Linked DNA regions of Oryzias latipes. The protein of the gene in region 1 purifies or fractionates together with the protein of each later gene. This does not show direct contact. Links are inferred from orthologs where the notes say so. Each region holds a gene or a part of one and is shown in the gene's direction. Other genes may lie near its edges. The genes, in order: slbp, ctif and mif4gd.

The links.
Region 2: the proteins of slbp (region 1) and ctif purify together in Homo sapiens (affinity purification with western blotting; 3 studies listed by BioGRID). This does not show direct contact. The link is inferred for Oryzias latipes from reciprocal best matches to the Homo sapiens genes SLBP and CTIF.
Region 3: the proteins of slbp (region 1) and mif4gd purify together in Homo sapiens (affinity purification with western blotting; 3 studies listed by BioGRID and IntAct, with this or other methods). This does not show direct contact. The link is inferred for Oryzias latipes from reciprocal best matches to the Homo sapiens genes SLBP and MIF4GD.

The regions. Positions count from the first base shown.
Region 1 is NC_019868.2:4,691,561-4,695,315, forward strand, and holds the start of slbp (histone RNA hairpin-binding protein), read left to right. Parts: upstream 1-1,530; 5' UTR 1,531-1,653; coding exon 1,654-1,718; intron 1,719-3,308; coding exon 3,309-3,422; intron 3,423-3,755. UniProt on the Homo sapiens protein: RNA-binding protein involved in the histone pre-mRNA processing.
Region 2 is NC_019870.2:9,661,493-9,665,147, forward strand, and holds part of ctif (CBP80/20-dependent translation initiation factor), read left to right. Parts: intron 1-364; coding exon 365-487; intron 488-634; coding exon 635-708; intron 709-3,655. UniProt on the Homo sapiens protein: Specifically required for the pioneer round of mRNA translation mediated by the cap-binding complex (CBC), that takes place during or right after mRNA export via the nuclear pore complex (NPC).
Region 3 is NC_019866.2:13,000,957-13,004,653, forward strand, and holds the start of mif4gd (MIF4G domain-containing protein), read left to right. Parts: upstream 1-813; 5' UTR 814-908; coding exon 909-921; intron 922-986; exon of another isoform or gene 987-1,494; intron 1,495-1,525; coding exon 1,526-1,630; intron 1,631-1,721; coding exon 1,722-1,831; intron 1,832-2,038; coding exon 2,039-2,194; intron 2,195-2,899; coding exon 2,900-2,992; intron 2,993-3,078; coding exon 3,079-3,306; 3' UTR 3,307-3,697. Other genes in the region: slc25a19 (mitochondrial thiamine pyrophosphate carrier), read right to left, coding at 50-181. UniProt on the Homo sapiens protein: Functions in replication-dependent translation of histone mRNAs which differ from other eukaryotic mRNAs in that they do not end with a poly-A tail but a stem-loop. May participate in circularizing those mRNAs specifically enhancing their translation.

The DNA.
Region 1 (3,755 bases):
AGAAGTTCAGGAGTGTCATGGAGACCCACTGTCAGTTTGAAGGAGATTCAGGAGCGCTTCCCTGCTAATACTGTCTACAGTATAGGTGGAGAACTGTTTACATGGGTTGTTGTGATCTAACAATATGTATGAAAAGTGCTGAATAAATAATTAAAAAAATGGTTACAAGAGGTCCATGAACCCTGCTCCTGCACAGCTGCAGGTCCTACAGCTGGTTTGAGAGCAACAGAGATCAAGGAAGACAGAAAAACAAGCAGAATAAGCTACCGGTACATCAACCACAGAAGCAAATTTTTAGGACAGGTACTTTTAGGACATATTGTGTTTCAAAATGTACTTTGTATTAAATTCCATTACAATACTGAATCTATGAAATATCTTTTTAACAATTAGAATACTTCCTTTAATTATGGAAAAAACACTTTCAACAGAATAATATGAAAGTGGTACAATGAATTCCAAAAAACATATGGTTGTGATATTATAATCCCAAATAGATGCAAAGAGCTTTTGAAATGGTCAATTTGTCTTGAGCCAAAACATTATATTTCAATTTTAAAAATAGATGTAACCCTGCAACGCTGAAATCAAAGGTTAGTTTTACGTTGAAGCCTGGAGTTTTAATGCTGTTCAGGGTCATTTAGTTGCTGGAGCCAACCCAGGTACTCTTGGGCAAAGGTGGGGTAGACAGTTTGACAGTCCATTACAGGGCCACACAGAAACACACACACTCACATTCCCACCGAATAGATAATTTACCAATTAACCTGTGTTGCATGTTTATGGACTGTGGTCGGAAGCAAGAATCCCTTGAGAAAAACCACAGATGTTTGGGATAAACATGCAAACTCTAAACAAAAAGAACCCATCAAGGATTCCAACACATAAAAAGGACATTGCTAACCACTACACCACTGTGCAGCTTTGCTCGGCTTAATTCAATTGCAATACATTTTGAACAGATTGATGGTTTTTCTCACCATTTTGACAACCCCTAATTTTAATTCATTACTGTTTAAAATAAACGTAGGCAAACAATGTTAGAAGATGTCACTTATAGATTAAATGTTCCCTCGATAAAAGCTCCTCTTTTATAGAGTCGACCCTATTAACTGTAGACATTAGACTGAACAACACAGACACATTTAATGAAAGAGTTACATGTTTGATTTTTCCTTTAAAGTTAGTAAAAGAATAAGCATCGCAGTTGTTTTTATTTGTCTCTCAATTTCTGATTGTGCTCAATTACATATTTTAAATGTGTGAAAATAAAAAAACAGCTCAAAGCTGTCAGATCCATGTCATATGAGTTTTGATTTAAAAAATCTTGTTAATTAGAAGACCCTTTATGACGTAATAGCTTTTGCCGTTATTGTGGGTGGAGTCAAGGTTTTTTATTTTTATGATTAAATGTATTTACTTGTATTTCAAACTATATTCTTTTTCATACAAAAATAAAAAAAACAAGTCTGAACATTTTTAAATTGAAGGGTTCGATGGTCACGTGGTTCCCAGCGGAGTGTTTGGCGCGGTGCCTACGGAAGTGACGTAGCACTCGTCTTTGTGTTTGGCGCGCCGCGGGTTTTTGTTTTCTGTGCTTGGCGCAACTCGGGTTTTGGTGTCAAACGAGCAGTTTTCCCGCAGAACCGGATCATGTCTACCAGAACCCCTGACCGGCGGACCGACGCCACCAGCAGCCGCCGCGAACACACCCGGAGGTGAGGAGTTCCGATCCAGCTTGGTGAATTCGGAGAAGGCTGTTCCGTTCGGACTGAACGCCGGGACCGGCGGACAGCAGACCGAACTACCGAGAGAGGGAACTCCAGTCCTGCTCCTGACTCTAAACACATAGGTTTTTAGTCGGTTCTTGGCGGGTTTCCAGAACCTCAGAGGTCTTGAGAGTCCTCGACCACAAAAAACTGTTTTGACCGAACGAGCAGGTTTAGCTGTTTATTAACAGAACCGGGACGGATCATTATATACGTCGGTGTTCATTCTTTAAACCGGGTTTAGTGGAGACGGAAATGTAAATATCCGAGCTTTAACGTGTCGTGTGTGGTTCTGTGGATCCTCTTCTGTTGGATCGTGTTCTGTTTGGGAACAGTCCTCCGGAAAACCTCGCACTGTTTCTTGGTTCCGCTGCGCGGGGCAAATGCGCGCCAAAGCCGCACCTTTAGTGCAGATCCTACTTCATATAATGCAGTAAAGGCATTTCCACCTGCTGCTGTGAGGCGTTTAGACAGGAACATTGTGTTTTTAACATGTTCGTCTGACTGATGATGGAGGACACACCGAGAGAAAATTAGCTTTAAAAAACTTTTTGGAGTTTTTCTTTATTAAAGTTTTAGTTAATCAAGAGTAAAAAGATCATTTTTGTGACGTTGAAAAGACGTCACAAAAAATACAAGATCCCTGCTCCTCTCCATTCTTATTCATCATCTGTCAGACAAACAGATCCATGTTTGTCTTTGTTTTCTCGTCTGAGCTGGAATCTGGATCCAAACTGGACGTCTGGATAGATCCGATATCGCTGGCTATTTTTGTTGCATTGATAATGTTAAGTTGGAGCTGTAAGCAAGCAAACAAAGGCATGATGGGTAAAAAGGGCATGTCCTCTCACCGCCAACAGCCACAACTCAGAGGAGAATTCCTGCCGCTCTGCAGAAACTATGTCCTAGGTCAGGGGTGTCCAACTCATTTTTTACTGAGGTCCACATCAGCATAGCTGCAGTCCTCAAAGGGCCAGATAAACCTGAAAAATAAATGTAACTACTACTTAATGTTAAATTACTCATTTATTTATTCTAACTTTTTAAAGTGACAATTCCAGTTGCATAGAAAACATATATTTGTTGTTATTCTAGCATAAATCCTTTTACATTTGATTCTGTCAGGTTAAGTTATATGGACAGTGTTTAAGTCCTACTGTTTAGTTGCCCAATCCCATATTTCAAGTCTGATTCTCCCTAGATATGAATAAATACACACCAATTTTTATTTTTTATTTGAGAAATTAAAAACTTTTATGCTCTTGCGGGCCACAGAAAATGACATGGGGGGCCACGTTTGACCCGCGGGCCTTGAGTTTGACACGTGTCTTAGAAAGTGACATAGGTTGTTAGATTATGACTAAAAACGCCTTGATCCTAATTCAAAGACCACTGGGAACACTTTTACAATAGATCAGAAGAGACAACAAGCTCTGTTAGAAACCCAAACCCTCTGGTTTACGGCAACAGTTTTAAAGCCATGCACACGGCATGTCTGCACTCATAATGAAGACCCCCCCCCTCTTCTTTACTGTCCAGCAGCGGTCCGTCCCGGTGGTCCCACTGCAGGAAGAGAGGCGTAGACGGGAGCATGCGCACAGACGAGCATGAGCGCACAGACGAGCATGAGCGCACAGAAGGGAGACATTCCAGGTAACGTTCCAGGTATATTATTATGATGATGATGTGGTCCATTTACATTACTGAGGCCAAGTGCTCCATCTACAGCCAGACAGCCACAACCACTGTCCTGTGTTTCAACCAGTTACTGTAAATGAGAACGGAACCGACAGACTCCTCCCCCTGGCATTCCAAACAGGAAGTACCCGCTGGTTCCAAAAAGCTAAAATGCCATAAACTTCCATAGAGAAATAAACAGCTGTTACTCAGTCATTTTATTTGTCCAAATAACTTTTTTTGCTCTGACACCTTTCATTAACATGCCCTCGATAACTCGTTTTTTTATATTTTATCTTTAGTGCAATT
Region 2 (3,655 bases), on another chromosome or scaffold:
TACATAAAGAAAAAGAGACTCCAACTATTATTTCAACTCAACATTCAGACTGTTGGATAGGTAGATAACAGCTGAGCAATATGCACTCTGACATTATGTTGACTTGATGCAGTTTTAATGAAGCTCACAACCAACCAAAGGGGCAGAAACTGCCAGTTCATTGGTTTGAGTGAAACTATGAATTCTTGCCTAAAGGCAAATATTAAGGCTAAGCTGTAACCTGATTTGACTTACAAGTTAAATTAAGATTTTTCTCAATTTGTTTTTCTTAGTTTGACACAACCTCCGGACTGTCATGTCTTTTATAAATGTTCAGTATATCATAGTCTCTGCATTTTCTGCTTTCCTCCCCTTTAAACTGCAGGACGAGTGGGAGCACAGCAGCAATGGCAGTACTGGCTCTAGGCCTAGTTCAGGGTCCAGACAGGGGTCAGGCTCCCGTTCTGGCAGCAGAGGCCGGAATAACCAGTTCAAAGCTCCTGCTAAGGTAGTGAAAGATGTGCCTGTGTGCTTTCATTAGCAGTTTTGAGTGTTCTCCTCTGGCATCGTGCAAATGTCCACTTTATTAGGAAAAGAAAAAACACAAATTGAAACTGAAATATGGTGTGAATTTGTCATCTTTGTTTTTGTCTAGAACGGGAACAAAGATGGCTCCTTTGACATCCTGGGAACAGACATTTGGGCCGCCAACACAATGGACTCACGCGGGTATGCGTCTTAGTGTCTCACACCTTTTTTGTGTCTGCTAGTTTTGGATTCCATACATAGTTTCCGGTGAGTCATGTTGCAAATGTAGATGCTGTCTCACAGCTTTTGCTAGTCAGTCTCATGCTTTAAAGCTTAGTGTTTACAATCCTCTCTGTTTTTCCTAAATAATCTTTCAAACCAAACTTTGCTTTTCTTATTCCATACCAGTTTTCAGGCTAAAACCCGATATTTCAACATGTTTGCTCTGATATTTAACCAGCTTCACTGCCTCCTCTGAAAATGTTGGTCACAAAAAGTTTTATTGAAAAAAAAGTCAAACAATTTTTATGAAAAATTGATCTTTAATGTAAAAAATAATTTATTTAAAAAAACAGCAAGACACTTAATATTGTAAAGGGTTGATAGGTTTGATATAGTAAAATCTAAAGTCAAGACCATAAATATTTGGACAGAGACACATTCTTTCTTATTTAGTCTCTGTACATTACCACAGTGAATTTTAAACAAAACAACTCAGATGCCATTGAAGTGCAGACTTTCAGCTTTTATTCCATGGGTTGAACAAAAAGATTGCATAGAAATGTGTAAAACTAAAGCATTTTTTAAACTCAATCCCTTCATTTATTTCATGGGCTCGTAAGGAATTGGACAAATGAAATAACTGAAAACAAAATGGTGGAAAACCCTTTGTTGGCAATGACAGGCTGAAGTCTTGAACTCATGGACGTCACCAGATGCTGGGTTTTCTCCTTCTGAATGCTCTATCAGGCCTTCACTGCAGCGGCTTTCAGTTGCTGTTTGTTTGTGGGCCTTTCTGTCTGAAGTTTAGTCTTCAACAAGTGAAATGCTGCTCATTTGGGTTAAGATCAAGTCCACTGTTGTCTTCCGTGGACGTCCAGGTCTTTTTGCGTTGCTGAGTTCACCAGTGCTTTCTTTCTTTCTCAGGATGTACCACACTGTTGATTTTTACCCTCCTAATACTGTAGCAATTTCTGGCATGGTTTTTTTCTGTTTTCTCAGCTTAATGATGGCTCCTTTCACCTGCATGGAGAGCTCCTTTGACTGCATGTTGTCTGTTCACAGCAAAATCTTCTAAATGCAAGCACGAGTCCTCTAATCAACTCCAGGCCTTTTATCTGCTTCACTCATAATGACATAACAAGGGAATTTCCCACACCTGCCCATTCAATAGCATGGAAGTCAATTGTCCAATTACTGACGAGTCCATGAAATGAAGGATTGTGTTTAAAAAAATGCTTTAGTTTTTCACATTTTTATGCAATCTTTTTCTTTAACCCATGGAATAAAAGCTGAAAGTCTGCACTTCAATGGCATCTGAGTTGTTTTATTTAAAATTCACTGTGGTAATGTACAGAAACTAGAATGTGTCTCTGTCCAAATATGTATGGTTCTGACTGTACTTAGCGGCTTCACTGAGTACCAGCCACGTTGGCACAGCTGAAGACAGGCTGAAGTTATTCAACCTGCACCGTGGGATTATGTAAGCAGCTCTGTCCTTACCAGACACTGATGGTTTTAATTTAATTGTTTCTGCACTCCTAATTAAGCTGTGTGGATCTAGATTGAGAAGCTCATTCATTCATTTTTTAATCAAGCGACAAACTATGATGATATATCTGAATATTTAAATGTTATACTGTTTCCTGCTGCACGCAGAAAACACACAACCATTAAAACAGTTCAGAGTAATACAAGTGAGCGTGGCGTATATTCACACCCACCTTGTCTATTTGATTAAAATAGACCAGCATTTGCTCACTAAATAAGGCCGAACTCTGGTCTGGACCAAACAAGTGGAATGGATGGTCTGCTTCTGAAAGGGCTCTGGTGCGCTTTGCTTACTATGTGAATATAAACTAGCCTCAGTCTGGCCCAACTTCAACTGTCATCAACCTTTTTTAGAACCAAAATGTTAATGTAGCTGAAAGCCACAAGCTGTCAAACCTGGAGCAAGGAGGAGATGCCACGCAACCCGTTGAGACAACTGTGATGTGATATTGGGCTATATAAATAAAATTGAATTGAATGCATCCTTCATATTCGGGCTGACGCACATCAATTCATATTAATCGTTCTTTGTATATCACTGTTCATTAGGGTTGTCCTTAAAAGTGGAAATTGGAAATTCTAAGCTCCAACCCATGAAGTTGGTTGGATTAGCTGAAAAAAACTCTCCTTGGGAATTTTTCTCTCAATTGGACAATATTTACCCCTCCCTCAGTGACCTAGAAGTTTTCCCCTTCGGCCCCTATGGGTGCGCATTGTCAAAGAATAAAAACAACATAACAATTAAAATTAGAATTAAAATGAAAGTTTTAACATCAGAACTGATCTCAAACAATTTAATCTACAATTCTACATGTATGAAAAAGAACAAATATTAATGATGATGAAAATTGTAAACATTCAAAACATCCATTATATAACTGAGTATGCTTGTATTCCTGTTTGTTCTAAATGTGAAAAAAAATTCTTAAAAAGGCGATATTCATATTCCATATCCAATCTACAGTCTCTGTCCCAAACATTTGTTAGTGTTCACTCTGAGACTGCTAAGCCCATCTATTGGCAGCCAGCTTAGTTCTCCTTACTCTTCTGCTGAGGCACCATACCAGTCTCATTGAGGGAGGGGTAAACGTTGTTGGAATTGGAAAAAAATTTACAAGGAGAGTATTTTCAGCTATTCCAACAGATTTCAGGGGTTGGAGCTGAAAAAATATTAATTTGAAAATTTAGCCCTCTGGAAGGACCACCCTACTGTTCACACATGGTAACACAAAGTACTGTACACTAATAAATACATAAACAAAATATTAAATAAAACTGTTTTTGTATTTTTAAACCCCCCCCCCACACACACACACCACTCACCCATTTCACCTATAGCAATAACAACTCATGGTCGCACAACGTGCAGCTACTGGAG
Region 3 (3,697 bases), on another chromosome or scaffold:
TACTTCATATAAATGACAGCACTAATGACACCATCTACTGCACAATTACCTGAAATCGTATTTTTACCACGTCAAAGGGACTGATGAGAGCTCTGGTAACCATCCCAGCAGCCGAACCGGCCAACACGGCTTCTTTCGGGGAGATAGCAGCCTCCTTTGCTCCAGGGTCGAAACCCACCATGTCTGCACAACTTCAAACTAAAGCAGAAAGTAGGCGTTCTTTCAACTTTGTTAATTAAAAACTATGTTTTAAAAAAAGAAATCTTGTGGATATTAATGACACAATAATCACTATAATTTTATATATTGTTTTATATACACACACACCCACCCACACATAAATATAACTGTTGGTGAATCAACTTTCGTAACACATGTTGTAGTACATAGAGGACAGTCAACGCATACGTGGGGCTAGCTAGGCTAAAAACATAGCACTTATTGCTTCGTTTCCGTTACAAAAACAATATATAAATAATATGTAAATATAAAATATAATTTACCTTGTAAGACAACTCATGCATATATATGATTGCAGCTCTCCAACTGACCCATTACATAAAAGCACAATACTATTCCAACACTTCCGCAAACTCGGACAGCGCATGTGCCTAATACCATCAAAGATACCATACTGCAACAAGATGTCTCTCTATTTGCCCTAACCAGTTTAGCGCACAAACGGTTACGGATTAAATTCTAACGGTATAGAACGTGTTTTATATATCTTAATAAATGCATTCATTAAAACATATGGATAATAAGCTGTTTAGTCCGAATTTGTTTTTTTTTTGTTTTTTTCGGTAAATTAAAAAAAAGACAAACATCTTGACATCAACACTTCATCTTCGGAGGATAGTTTCGACGAGCGCTTGGCTGCCCTTACTTCAACATTATGACCATCATATATGAGTCAAATAGGTATATTTTCGCAACCTTTGGCATATCTTCACACTGTAAACGTAACAAAAATGTTGACTACTTACATTTTGTTAAAAGTTTCGCCCGTTTGTGTCTTTTCGCGGATGGATATTATGACGGCTAACAAACCTGATGCCTGACGTTTAGCTGTTTACGGCCGAAGCACACAAGCTAGCAAAGCAAACCGGTTTGTTAATTAGTTCAATTAGTGTTTGAACTGTTTTGTAGTAAATATCAATTTATAGGAAATGTGATTTTAAAAAAGGAGTTCTAAATTTAGTATGGTTACATTATTACATTAAAGAAATCCACGAATCTCAAATCTGAACGTGAAATAAATGTTTGTTTTGTTTTGGAAAACGGGTGCTTTGGTGTAGTTAGATGGTTTCTAGTTGACCCGAGTCTGGCGTAATCCCCTCTAACCCCAGTTGAATGGGCTGCAGGGAGCAGTCTGATGACTGCTGCATTTTTTGTCACAAGTCTCTGTATAGCTGATGTGTTCTCTGAAGCTCACTGATTTTAGCAATCAAGAATCTTGTATAATTGAAGAAAAAAAGCTTTGAGACCAGAAGACAGTTTGATTTCCACATGTGCTGGTCCCCAGATGAAACGGAAGCTCATCCAACTGTAATGGAAAACTCCACGGACGAATACAGATTCCAGTCATTTGACCCAGACACACAGATGTTACTGAAAACTGCCTTGAAAGGTCAACATTTTCCTTTAATATTCTGTAGGCTCTTTTTATGATTTAAAAATGTGTTTAGAAGACATTTTAATGTTATTTAATTAACTTTCAGATCCAAGTTCGGTGGATCTGGAGAAAGTGTCTAACATCATTGTAGATCAGTCTCTAAAGGATCAGGTGTTCAGCAAAGAGGCGGGCCGCATTTGCTACACTATTGTCCAGGTTAGTAATCATGGGGAAATACTTTAAAACTTGACTCAGAGCATCTCCTAATTTAAATATTTGGAAAAACCATATCATCTGATTAAGTCTCCAAGACTGCTTTTCACTATTTCATAAATCATCTCCCCTCTGCCACTGTTTGTCCTGGGATTTGTTTTTAATCTATGCTTTTATCACGCTCTGATTGATTCCTGATCACCACCTCAGGCTGAGGCCAAGCAAAGCGATGGAAATGTATTCAGGCGAAACCTGTTGAACCGACTGCAGCGGGAGTTCAAGGACCGCGAGGACATGCGGGCTCGCTCGATACACGAGTGGGTGTGCTATGTCACCTTTATCTGCAACATTTTTGACTACCTCAAGGTAAAAAGCACAGATGTTTTTTCTTTATTTCTTTCTGAAAGACTTTGACATTTATCTTTGCTGATCAAACTAAAGCAGAGGAAACATAGTGCAACACACATTCAGGATTGCCTCTGTCAGCCATTCTGAATGCATAACTCTTATCAAATATATCTTTATGTTTTTTCAAAACAAAATCGCTGCTCTATGACGGCATTGGATCTTTTTTTCTATTCTTTTTGCGTGTTAAATGTGATCAGGTATATTTCGGGTTCTTGGGTAGAAGTTTTTGATATTTTATTTTATTTCATTGCATTTTGTCACAGCTTTAACTTTTTCCCATCAGTTAATAATTAATTATATGTATTTATTAATGTTAGTTCCGGGTATCAATGCCGAAATGCTGTATCCAATCAGTTTTGATGCACAAGCTCTCGATTAGATTCGATTTTGATTCATTTTCCAACATTTTTATTTAAAAAAAATGTTTTTGTTAAAAAAACACATTTCATACAGTCATTTAAACTGAACAAAGGTGGACTTTTTATTGTTAAAATTCAAAATTCTTACTTTGAAAACCTAATGAAAGTAGACTTTACTTTAAAGGAAAATTGATTCAGACATTTGATGAATCAATATGGATTTTCTTTGTAAGATCAGTTTGCCATTGATTACTAAGTTTATTAAAGGCTGCCCTTATGTGTTGTGTGCCTGCATCCCTGTCAGGTGAACAACATGCCCATGGTGGCCCTGGTCCATCCGGTTTATGACTGTATGATGAGACTGGCACAGCCGGATGCCCTAAAGAACGAAGAGGAGGTGGGAATGTGCTAACGTGTTTGAGAAAAGTGTGGTAAAATCATTGTAGCTTCATAAGGTGGATGTCTTCCTCTCATCCTCTTCAGGTGGACTGTCTGGTTCTTCAGCTGCACCGGATTGGAGAGCAGCTGGAGAAGGCGAACAGCCAGCGGATGGACCAGCTGTTCTTTCTGCTCCGGGACGGATTCCTCCTCCAGGAAGGCCTTACTTCCATGACACGCCTGCTCCTCTTGGAAATCCTAGAGTTCAGGGCTGGAGGCTGGATGCTCAGCAGCACTGCCAACAAGTACTACTACAGCGAAATATCTGACTGACGGAGGTGCAAAGCATTAGACCTTCAAAATACATGAGAGCCCTCACTTCTTTTTAAACTGATGACAAAAAAAACAGCAGCTCTTCCAGGCAGTTAGAACAGCCTGACGAGAGAATCATTCATACAAAAGCTTAGTTTTGGGTGTGTTGTGCAGATTGACTGAGAAGTGGTGGCTGTGGATTGTGCAATAGTTCAGAAAGCTTTCAATTTTATGTTTCTAAATGACATATTTTTAAATTTGAAAGTCTTTTTCTTTATTTTAAGACCATGTTCATTCTAGCTGGAAAAGACATTCCAGTCTGATGCAAACCAAGATCTTTACTTTATGTTTAGTAGAAAATTACCTTTTCTATTTCAGTGTAACATGACAATTTAAAAAAAAAACACATTTT